3 linked regions of the Elephas maximus indicus genome follow. The protein of the gene in region 3 purifies or fractionates together with the protein of the main gene of each other region. This does not show direct contact. Links are inferred from orthologs where the notes say so. Each region holds a gene or a part of one and is shown on either strand. Other genes may lie near its edges.

What was found.
Region 1: the proteins of EXOC8 (region 3) and EXOC6B purify together in Homo sapiens (affinity purification with mass spectrometry; 3 studies listed by BioGRID and IntAct, counting the BioPlex papers as one, with this or other methods). This does not show direct contact. The link is inferred for Elephas maximus indicus from reciprocal best matches to the Homo sapiens genes EXOC8 and EXOC6B.
Region 2: the proteins of EXOC8 (region 3) and RALB purify together in Homo sapiens (affinity purification with western blotting; 6 studies listed by BioGRID and IntAct, counting the BioPlex papers as one, with this or other methods). This does not show direct contact. The link is inferred for Elephas maximus indicus from reciprocal best matches to the Homo sapiens genes EXOC8 and RALB.

Annotation. Positions count from the first base shown.
Region 1 is NC_064835.1:63,082,599-63,086,345, forward strand, and holds the start of EXOC6B (exocyst complex component 6B), read left to right. Parts: upstream 1-971; 5' UTR 972-1,089; coding exon 1,090-1,202; intron 1,203-3,747. UniProt on the Homo sapiens protein: Component of the exocyst complex involved in the docking of exocytic vesicles with fusion sites on the plasma membrane.
Region 2 is NC_064824.1:19,086,253-19,089,999, reverse strand, and holds the start of RALB (ras-related protein Ral-B), read left to right. Parts: upstream 1-1,222; 5' UTR 1,223-1,347; intron 1,348-3,747. UniProt on the Homo sapiens protein: Multifunctional GTPase involved in a variety of cellular processes including gene expression, cell migration, cell proliferation, oncogenic transformation and membrane trafficking.
Region 3 is NC_064842.1:33,316,383-33,320,129, forward strand, and holds the start of EXOC8 (exocyst complex component 8), read left to right. Parts: upstream 1-1,408; 5' UTR 1,409-1,534; coding exon 1,535-3,712; 3' UTR 3,713-3,747. Other genes in the region: DNA-dependent metalloprotease SPRTN, read right to left, coding at 779-999. UniProt on the Homo sapiens protein: Component of the exocyst complex involved in the docking of exocytic vesicles with fusion sites on the plasma membrane.

The sequences.
Region 1 (3,747 bases), on a different chromosome or scaffold from region 3:
ATGATTAATAAATCTGATTTTTAAATTCTAATCTGGGGAGTTGCCTAGATCAGGATCTCCAGATGTAACATCTGTAGTCTGTATTAGAAAACAACAGCAAACAAAACACCTCCCAGGTGCTTTTGATGCACTTGGTTGTTGGACCGGTGGAACTATTAGAATAAAGTACAAATTTCTCAACTCAGCATTTAAGGCTTTTTTCTTTATTTTTCCAAAATACATTTCCAGTCCATTTCTTGCTACTTACAGTTCTACATGCCAGTGAAAATGAGTTCTTGCTGGCTCTCTGGATTCTCCTCACACCTTCTGGTCACCCCTTTTAACCTTTAGGCCCCATCTCTCTTTGAAGTCTTCAAACCCAGATGTGATCCCTGAGCTTAATTTTCTAAACTTGCTTACTGACACATTCTGTTTTATATCATAGTTTTGGGCTTATCCAGCTTTTCTCCCCAATGGCCTGAAGGAACTTAGTTCCAAACCCAAAACCAAACCCATTGGTGTCAAGTGGAAATCCAACCCATAGTTAACCTATAGGACAGAGTAGAAGTGCCCTGTAGGGTTCCTAAGGCTGTAAGTTTTTACAGAAGCAGACTGCCACATCTTTCTCCCAGGGAGCGGCTGGTGGCTTCCAATCGCCAACCTTTAAGTTGGTAGCCCAGCGCTTAACCACTGAGCCACAACGGCTCCCCTCTTATTGTTTGCGCCTACAGAGCCTTTGCACTTTGCGGTAAAGGTGTTAAACAAGAATTTGTGGAATTAGTGTCACTGCCTGATTTGTTTACTCTTTTCATATGCAGTGTCGCTGTTCCCGGCTTAACGTGGGCTTTCAACAAGCATTTGTGGAACCAACGAATAATGAACGGCGTTCAGCCTAACATCGCCCAGAGAAATACAAAGCCCAGCATGCATTGCGTGGAACGTCGGCGGACGCGGTGACGCAAGGGGGCGTGCCGAGCCTGAGGGAGGGGTCGTCCTGCGGGTAGCCGGAGGCTGGGGTGGCCGTGGAGCCCGGGGTGAGAGAGGGAGTGTGAGGGAGCGAAAGGTGAACCGAGCTGAAGGAAGGGACGCGTTGCTAGGTGCCCCCGGTTTATGGAGCGGGGCAAGATGGCGGAGGCGGAGAGCCTCGAGACAGCGGCGGAGCACGAGCGGATCCTGCGAGAGATCGAGAGCACCGACACGGCCTGCATCGGGCCCACGCTCAGGTACTCCGGATACCCGGGCCACCGACGGGCGGACACGGGCGGGACCGGCGGGCAGAGTCCTTCGGGTCGGTCCGCCCGGCCGGACTCCCACAGCGCTGGCGTCTGCCCCTCCTTTCGGGAGCCCAGCGAGCGGCCTCCGCCTCAGTGAGGCGGGTCTCCCGCCGGAGCCCCGACGTAGGGTCCTTTCCCGGCCCGGCGGCCCCCCACAGCCCGGTCCTCAGGAGGAGCCTCCTGCCTCCCTCGGGCCAGGCAGCCTTCTTTCTCCCTTCGAGCCTTGCCCAGCGCCGGGCAACTAGAGATCACCCGACAGATGCAGAGCTTCCCCCTTGGGAACATCACCCTTCTCCTTCCGATTCGAACCCTCGTCCTGCCTTAGACATAAGTCCTGCTCTTCAGACAAAACGAAATTTCACCCCACGGTCCCTTGCCTAGAAATGATACTCTTGCCGCCTTAAAATCAAAACCACTTCTCAAAAACGAGCCCCTGAAAATCCTTGGCCCTGGAAAGAAAGTTTCCCTCAACCCGCGCCCCTTTCCTTGGAGCGGGTGCTCGCGAACCCTGCCAGGAGGATGACTCTTTGCAAAGGTGCAGCCTCATAGTATTCTCATGGCTGAGAAAAATTTGCCCCTTCTCCGCCCCCCGCCCCCGTTACACCCCAATTTTATTTGCAGATGTCAAAACAAACCCTGACCGATCCCAACTTACTTATTTAACAAAACTTAGGTAATGCTTCTTATATACGGTGCAAGACGTTATGTTAAGTGATTTACACATTTATTTAAACGCAGAACAACAACAACAAAATCCTACTAGGTGGGTATTATTAGTACTCTCATTTTACAGATGAAGCACAGCGAGGTTAAGCGACTTGCCCAGGGTCACAGAGAAAATAAATTGGAGAAGTCAAGATTCCTACTTAGGCAATCTGGATTCAGAGTCTGCACTTTTTTTAAAACAATATTTTATTATGTTTTCAGTGGAAGTTAACACAGCAAATTAGGTTCCCATTTGACAATTTGTAGAAAAATTGATCAGCGACGTTAGTTACCAGGGTCTGCACTGTTAACCGCTGTTGTTTTGCCTCAACTGGGAATTATCATCTGCCTTACTTTTTTGTTGATAATTACACACCAAAGCCCAATTTAGAGCTACTTTTCCCTTACCCTTCAGTTTAGCAATGCCCTAGAGCTAACTTATCCTCATCCTTTCAGTCTAGGTCACTGTTCCTCCCTTCAAAGAAGAGTTATGAAAGAGTAGTTGAAGGAGGGCCAGGCTGGAGATGACTTCTCAGCCCCAGCTGCAATTCCTTCTCCAGGGTGCATTGTTAGCACAGTTTTCCCAGTGTCATCCCTGGACACTTTTATCCTCAGGTTTTGCCTTCTGTCCTTTAAAGTGACTTTTGGTTCTCTTTTTGGATCAGTTCTTCAGCACTATGGGTATCTTACTCTCCCCTCTGCTCTCATACATTATGATCATGATGACCATGCTTTTCTCATTAAGCTGTTCACGGTGAATGATCCTCATTTCCTAGTCTTTGTTTTTCCAGAAACTAAGGGCTACTTACTAGTGTCCTACTAAGGGCCTTAATAGTTGTTAATATTTGCTTTTTGTAAAATAAAATGTTACTGGAGTTTACTGAGGATGCTGTTTTCAATAGTCTACCCAGAAATTTGACCACTGAGTTGCAGTTGACAACCTAGCAAAGCACCATCAGTGTTGTCTTGAACTGGTTGTGGTTTTCAAAGTTCTTGTTTTATATGATGGATGGACTTTAGTGTTGTCAGTTTAGTTTGTAGTAGTTTATTAGGTTAACTCTCCACTGAATAATGATACATATTTGTATCAACTTAGTTTTGGCCCGTAATTTTTCTAGTGTCTTGACTTTAAGAATATATGTATTTTGGTTCAAATGTAAATTACCATTCTTCCTAAAACTTGCTTCATTATGATCACAGAGTTCTTTTTCCACTGGGAAGTGGGCTTTTATGGGGTAGATAGATTAAGATATATTTTGCCCTAAGGGAGCACAGTTAGAAAAAAATGCACTGTACCAACAGCTTTAGTTGCTTTTCCTGACTCCCTGTATCATTATTAGGGGCTTTTCATTTTTTGTTCTCATCTTTTCTGTGGCAGATAACCCTAAATCTTACTATCAGACTGAAGATTTAATCACCTGAACATCGTAAAGTCGTACCTACTATCTTTGTCTTTAGCTTGCCTCTCCCCATTTTCACAGGTAATGATCTCACCTTATTTGCTTATTCCATTCAGAGGCAGTAGCATGCACAGACTTGATGTTTCAGATCCCATGCCTTATCCTGGATGCACCTCCATCATTATTATATTTTGTTTTTCATCACAGTCCTTAGAGAGGTTTGACTAAGGTTATAAGCACTCTTCTTTAACTCTCCTCAGCTGTAAACCCCACACTCCTCTATCCCTCTTCATATTATGTCTTTCCAATTTTTTCGATCTTTTGAGGTGGCTTTTTTTTTTTTAATTAATTTTTGTTGTGCTTTAAGTGAGAGTTTACAAATCAGGTCA
Region 2 (3,747 bases), on a different chromosome or scaffold from region 3:
TTAGAATGGTTTCTGTCATATAATTAGCACTCCAGGTAAGTCTTTAATGTGCATAAGAAAGGTAAAAACTGAATGCTTAAGATCCTAGACTAACACTAGGATATTCTTCTGATCGAACGTTTTCTTTGCCTCTGTTAAGACTTACTTAAGATTAAAGTGAAGCTTCTGTGCTTTTGGATATAGATGTTGGTTGAGGGACTACATCAATTAGTTGCTTATACAGGGCAGTTTAATCAAGGCAGAAAAGCTTCTAATATAATGCATATGTACCTTAAAGTGTAATTACCAACCAGGAGAGAATTAATGTTTATATGCCAGACACTGCACTAGCTGCTGTGGATATAAAATTGAATAAAAGATCGTTCCCTTCCCTAGAGATTGTAGAGGCAGACATTTAATCAAATGTGATACGGTGTGAGGTTTGTGTAGGGGTCACCAAACCTGCTCGTGGGGAGGATTCAACTTTAGGAAGGGGCAGTTAGTTAGGAAAGTCAACCTGAGGTGGAGCCCTTTTTGGATAGAAAATTATCAGTCCCCGGGCTTTGGAGGGCGGGGGCGGGCAGGCTGTGGGAGAAAACCTGTTGGTTGTGAGCCTCCTCCTATGCGACTTGCCTCAAGTTGTTGCCAAGCATTGGTCAAGACACTGCACTACTGCTAATGGGAGGTCATTTGTCAAGCGAGTTATGGCTGCTGACGGGGTCCCGCCGCAGGGGACCCCGGCAGGCGTCCCAGCAAACAGCTCTCCGGACCCTTCCACAGATATTCCACGCCACACCCGCGCGAAAGCACACTTCTCCACGTCGTAGCTTTAAAACCTGGGTTTCTACTTGTCAGGTAGGTCGTTCCCTTTTGCTTTTCCCTACTTTGGCCTTGCCCTGGCCGACGTCCCACGACCGGAGCACCGCTCCCTCGCCCTCGCTCAGCGTCCCTGGACCAGCTCGCAGCTCCTCCACTGCAGCCCCGGTCACGCGCGCCTTGCCCGGCTGGGGAAAGAGAGGAAAGGGAAGTGGGCGGGGCAGACATGCGAGCCTGCCCCTCCCGCCTGAGGCGGCTTCTCATTGGCGTAGCTTCCTCCTCAGCCTCCCGGCGCTTGAAGGCTCCGCCTCGGATTGGCTGATAGGCTCACGCTGGGCGTGGCCTACAGGGGAGGGCGGGAACGGAAGGGTGGGCGCGCTCTCGAGAGGAAGGGTTGCCTAGGCGACGCCGGGGGCGCGCTCGAGGGGTGTGGAGGCGAGCCAGCCCCGCTGAATGACAAATCGGTTGGGGACGGCTGGGGTCCGGCCCGGGAGGAGGCGAGAGAGGGGGCGGGGCGGACGGCCGAGGCGGCGGGCGCGGGACGTGTCCCAGGTAAGGGCGCCCACGCCGCGCAGGCACCTCGGGGGGTGGGGCGCGGGCTGCGGGAGCGGGCGCGCCGCCCTGCGCCTGGCGGCTCCTGGCCCCCGCGCTCCCCGCTCTCCCCGCGCTGGGCTGGGGCCGGGCTGGGGCCGGGCTGGGGCCGGGCTGGGGCCGGGCGCGTCCCCTACCGAAGCCGGAGGGCGACGCCCCGCCGCCTGCCCCGCGCCGGCCGGGAGGGTCGCCTGGAGAAAGCCCCTGGGGCTCCCAGCCGGGCGGAGGCTCGGGAGGCGGTGGCCCAGCCTCGCCCTTTTCACCGATCCTTCCCTTTTTCCCCTCAGATGGCCTCTGCTTCCATTTCCTGCCCTTTCGGGCCTCCAGCTGGACGACGGGCCACTTCCTCAGTCCCTTAGTTGCCGCGGTGGGCTGAACAAGAGCTATAAAGTGTTGCAAAAACTTATTATTGCCTTAGGAACTTGTGCGGAAGTGAGGCTGTGTTCTAAAAGCTGTTTTGTTTGGTTTTGGTTCTGTCTTGCAAATGGGTGTGAAGTTGTTTCTTTGATAGGGGCCAGCCCCGAGTGCACTGTGGTTTCTTAAGGGAAGCGCTCTGGACTTTAGCCGTTTTCCTGGACCAGGCATCGACACCCCTGTTCTTGTCTTCTTAGACGTGTATAAGATGATCTGTGGTTGGTTCGCAGCTGTTAGTGGCAGGGAAAGCAGCGCTGAGACTGCTCCTGTGAGCACTTCTCTTCGTGCTCATTATCAGATGCATTTTAGAAACGTTGACCATCAGGGTTGTTATCAGGTGAGGTTTCTGGGGAGAAGTTCTTGTGTCTCGTGGACTAATTTAGGATTGCCAGTGGAAGAGACTTGACTCATTTGTTCGTTTAAGTTATCTGTGATTTGACCCCTGCTTGGAACAGGCGCTCCTTGGAAGCCCTGAGGGGCAGTTCTACTCTGTCCTGTAGGGCCGCTGTGAGTCAGAATTGACTCAGTGGCAGTGGGTTTGGTTTGTTTTTTTTTGCTTGGAACAGGTTAAGTTCTCAGAAATGGGGTGACCATGAATGCGATCATTGAATATATTGGATAGAACAGGAGAGTTGGGTTTGAAAACCTAGGTTTGGTGCTGGTTCTGAAACTTTCCTAGTGGTGTGATCTGGAGCATGGTTTTTCACCCCTCTGTTTTTTTGAATGCCAGATCCCACAACTGTAAAAAAAAAAAAAAAAAAAGATAACTGTATGCCCAGCTCGCTAATTGTTAGAATTGAATGAAACAAGGACCGTTTAAAGTTTTCATTGTGACAGTGGGGGTTGGAATAGGGGTAGGGGTGGGAAGAAGGCTGTGAGTGGGGCATCTTTGGCCAGGATACAGATCCCTTGTCCATGTTTTAGTCAATACAACAACCTAGACTACAGAATGGGAGGGACCTTGGTGAACTCTTGTAAGGTTTCCATGTAACTTGTCTCAAGATGATATACAGGAGTCCCACTTTCATTGACTCCAGTTACTTCTATACAAACAGCCCGTCTGTTAGACATGCAAGACACTGGGGTTTTTTTTTTTTTTTTTTTAATGAACGCATGTTGCTTGAAAAGTCTGAATGTTAGATCAAAGAAAGAAAGTAACCAGAGAAATGGAGCTCTTTCCTAAACACATGGGGTAGGGGGAAAACTATGAGCATCAGCTATCTGCTTGGCACACACCCACTGATCTAATCAATGTGATGTTAATTGCCTAGCATTCAGCTCTGACTCATGGCAGCCTTATGAATGGGATTTTGCCCATTCCATCTGTGCCATCTTCATGATTGTTGGTATGTTTGAACCCATTGTTGGGGCTATCGTGTCAATTCATGTCATTGAAGGTTTCCCTCATCTTCCCTAATCCTCCACCAAACATGATGGCGCTTTCTAGTGATTGGTCTTTTTTGATGATGTGTCCAAGGTAAGCTAGTCAAAGTCTTACCATCATCACTTCTAAGGATCTAATCAAATCTGCTGCAAAAGACCTCTAATTTAAAGTGTTGCAAAGCAGTGATGTCACCTTGAGGGCTCAGGCGTGCCTGATTCAAGCTATGGTATTTTCAGTCACCTCATATGCATGTGAAACTTGGACAGTGAATAAGGAAGACCGAACGAAGAATGATTGATGCCTTTGGTTTATAGTGTTGGAGAAGAATATTGAATATACCATGGACTGCCAGAAGAATGAACAAATCTGCCAGGAAGAAATACAGCTAGAATGCTCCTTAGAAGCGAAGATATCAAGATTTCGTCTCACATACTTCAGACATGTTATCAGTCCCTGGGAAGGACATCAAGCTTGGTAAAGTAGAGGATCAACAAAAGAGAGGAAGACCCTCAACGAGATGGACTGACACAGTGGCTACAACAGTGGGATCAAATATAGCAAGG
Region 3 (3,747 bases):
TTGTTTCGTAATTCAGAAACAAGCATGATGGTATACAACTGCACCCTAAACTTGATAAGCCCTCTCATGTCTGAGAGTAGGTTATTATTTCAAATCCGAATTTCTTAAACTTAAAGAGTGTAGAAAAGAAATCTTTAATAAGTATCATTAAAGATCCCTTGGGTCCAGAAATATGGAAAAGTCCTCCTTCCACAGTCCAACACACTAAGTGGTGCCATGTCAATGAGTATAGAGGAAGACAACACATTCTTTGGCGATTTCTTCCCGGCATTTTTCTTAGGGGCAGACGCTGGTGCTCCTCCTTCTTGGGTCCTAAAGCACTAAACTGAAAAACCATCAAATCCGTTGCCGTCGAGGGGATTCTGACTCACAGAGACCCTATAGAACAGGACAGAACTGTCCCCACTGGGTTTCCAAGACCTTAATCTTTATGGGAGCAGACTGCCACATCTTTCTCCCGCGGAGCACCCGGTGGGTTTGAACCAAAGACCTATCGGTTAGCGGTGGTGTCCTTTTACCACTTCGCCACCAGGGCTCTTTTAGCATAAGATTAGTTAAGCTTTATCTATCCATTCTCTAACGACCTAATGTGTAGCAAAAAAAAAAAAAAGGCACCACCACAGGACAAATCGGAAATGTGTCCATTTCTTCTCAACTGAGTTGAGAGTCAAGGTCCTGTGCTCTCACTGTGTCCCTATCCCTCAAGCGTGTGGGCCCCGCAGCTTTCCTAAAGCTGTCAGGGCAGGTGGAAGAGGAGGCCCACCCGGCCGGGACTCACAGGGTCATTCGCACGCTCCATTTCACCTCCACAGCCTCCAGCTGGCCCCAAAAGAACCGGTCGTTGAACTGCACGAAGAGGGCCTGCAGGTCCGGGGTGGGGTCCACCAGCTCCCAGGACGCGTCCACCAGCGACAGGGGTTCCTGGGCGCGGTCGAATCGCGCGGCCTCCAAGTCCCACTCCTCCTGCAGCTGCAAGGCCAAAACCAGGTCTTCGTCCATGGCGCCGGGTTGTGTGGCCCCCCAGCTGCTCCCCGGCGGCTCCTAGGAGATACCGGCTTCCAGCAGCTATCGCGAGAAGGCGGAATACCGGCTTCAGAACGAGCACGAAAGCTGACCTTCCCCAAGACGCCGAAGCCAAGATTCGAGGGCTAACGAAAATCCGCACCTCTTAGTTGGCGCAGAATTCAGTTCCCCAGGTTTGGCCGAGAAGTCGCCGGGAGCTGATACCGCCCCTACAGTTTCAAACACCAGACACCAGCCTCCATCCATGCGCAGAGCCTGCACGACTGCCTCCACCCTCACTCACTTCCGCGAAAGCGCTTAGGGGCGCATGCGCCCTAAGCAGCTGACGCTTCGGCGCAGGCGTACTCGCTAGCGCGGCTCCTTGCGCAAGCGCAGTGCCCGACTCTCAGACCCGAGCGCAGGCGCGTTCACCTCGCTTCGTCCTGCTTCTTCAGCCTGGAACTCATTCCGGCTGGGTGGGTCTCGGCAGCGGCAGCTGTACTGACAGTGACTGCCCGCGAGCCGGACGGAAATGGCGATGTCGATGTCGGACAGCGGGGCGAGCCGTCTGAGGCGGCAGCTGGAGTCGGGCGGCTTCGAGGCTCGGCTGTACGTGAAACAGCTCTCTCAGCAGTCGGACGGGGATCGGGACCTCCAGGAGCACCGGCAGCGCATCCAGGCGCTGGCGGAGGAGACGGCGCAGAACCTGAAGCGCAACGTGTACCAGAACTACCGGCAGTTCATAGAGACGGCCCGCGAGATCTCCTATTTGGAGAGCGAGATGTATCAGCTCAGCCATCTGCTTACCGAACAGAAGAGCAGCCTGGAGAGCATCCCACTCACCCTGCTTCCTGCCGCCGCCGCCGCCGGAGCCGCCGCGGCCTCTGGTGGGGAGGAGGGGGGAGGTGGGGCGGGGGGCCGAGACCACCTCAGAGGCCAGGTCGGCTTTTTCCCCACCCCTGGGGGCGCCTCCCGCGACAGTTCAGGTCCGGGTGAGGAGGGAAAGCAGCGCACCCTCACCACCCTTCTTGAGAAGGTGGAAGGCTGCCGGCACCTGCTAGAGACGCCGGGACAGTACCTGGTGTACAACGGGGACCTGGTGGAGTACGAGGCGGACCACATGGCCCAGCTACAGCGGGTGCATGGTTTTCTTATGAACGACTGTTTGCTGGTGGCCACCTGGCTGCCACAGCGGCGGGGAATGTATCGCTACAACGCTCTCTACCCCCTAGATGGCTTGGCCGTGGTCAATGTCAAGGACAACCCACCCATGAAGGACATGTTCAAGCTGCTCATGTTCCCGGAGAGCCGCATTTTTCAGGCGGAAAATGCAAAAATCAAACGGGAGTGGCTGGAAGTGCTGGAAGAAACCAAGAGGGCCCTTAGTGAGAAAAGACGAAGGGAGCAGGAGGAGGCAGCAGCCCCCCGAGGGCCGCCCCAAGTGCCTTCCAAGGCCAGTAACCCATTCGAGGATGAAGAAGAAGAAGAAGAGGTTGTTCCTGAGGTGGAGGAAGAGAAAGTGGACCTCTCAATGGAATGGATCCAGGAGTTACCAGAAGACCTGGATGTCTGTATTGCTCAGAGGGATTTTGAAGGGGCCGTGGACCTGCTGGATAAGTTGAACCATTATCTAGAAAATAAGCCCAGTCCACCTCCTGTGAAAGAATTAAGGGCCAAAGTGGATGAGCGTGTTCGCCAGCTCACTGAGGTATTAGTTTTTGAACTCTCTCCAGATCGTTCCCTGAGAGGCGGTCCCAAGGCTACTCGCAGAGCAGTTTCTCAGCTCATCCGATTGGGCCAGTGCACTAAGGCTTGTGAGCTGTTTTTGAGAAACAGGGCAGCCGCTGTGCATACTGCAATAAGACAGCTTCGCATTGAGGGTGCCACCTTACTGTATATTCATAAGCTGTGTCATGTCTTCTTTACCAGTCTTCTAGAGACTGCAAGGGAATTTGAGACAGATTTCGCAGGCACTGACAGTGGCTGCTATTCTGCCTTTGTGGTCTGGGCGCGATCAGCCATGGGCATGTTTGTGAATGCTTTTAGCAAGCAGGTGTTTGATAGTAAAGAGAGCCTCTCTACAGCAGCAGAGTGTGTAAAGGTGGCCAAGGAGCATTGTCAGCAGCTGGGAGATATTGGATTGGATCTCACCTTCATCATCCATGCCCTTCTGGTGAAAGACATCCAGGGGGCCTTGCACAGTTACAAGGAAATCATAATTGAAGCCACTAAGCATCGCAATTCTGAGGAGATGTGGAGGAGGATGAACTTGATGACTCCAGAGGCTCTGGGTAAACTCAAAGAAGAGATGAAGAGTTGCGGGGTGAGTAATTTTGAGCAGTACACAGGGGATGACTGCTGGGTGAACCTCAGCTACACTGTGGTTGCTTTCACCAAACAGACCATGGGCTTCTTGGAAGAGGCCCTGAAGCTGTATTTCCCAGAGCTGCACATGGTGCTTTTGGAGAGCCTGATGGAGATCATTTTGGTTGCTGTCCAGCATGTGGATTATAGTCTGAGGTGTGAGCAGGACCCAGAGAAGAAGGCCTTTATTAGACAGAATGCATCCTTTCTCTATGAAACAGTCCTCCCTGTGGTGGAGAACAGGTTTGAAGAAGGTGTGGGGAAACCTGCCAAGCAACTCCAAGACCTGAGGAACGCATCCAGGCTCATTCGTGTGAATCCCGAGAGTACAACATCAGTGGTCTGATGCATGGATCAATTTATATATAGATACATATATAT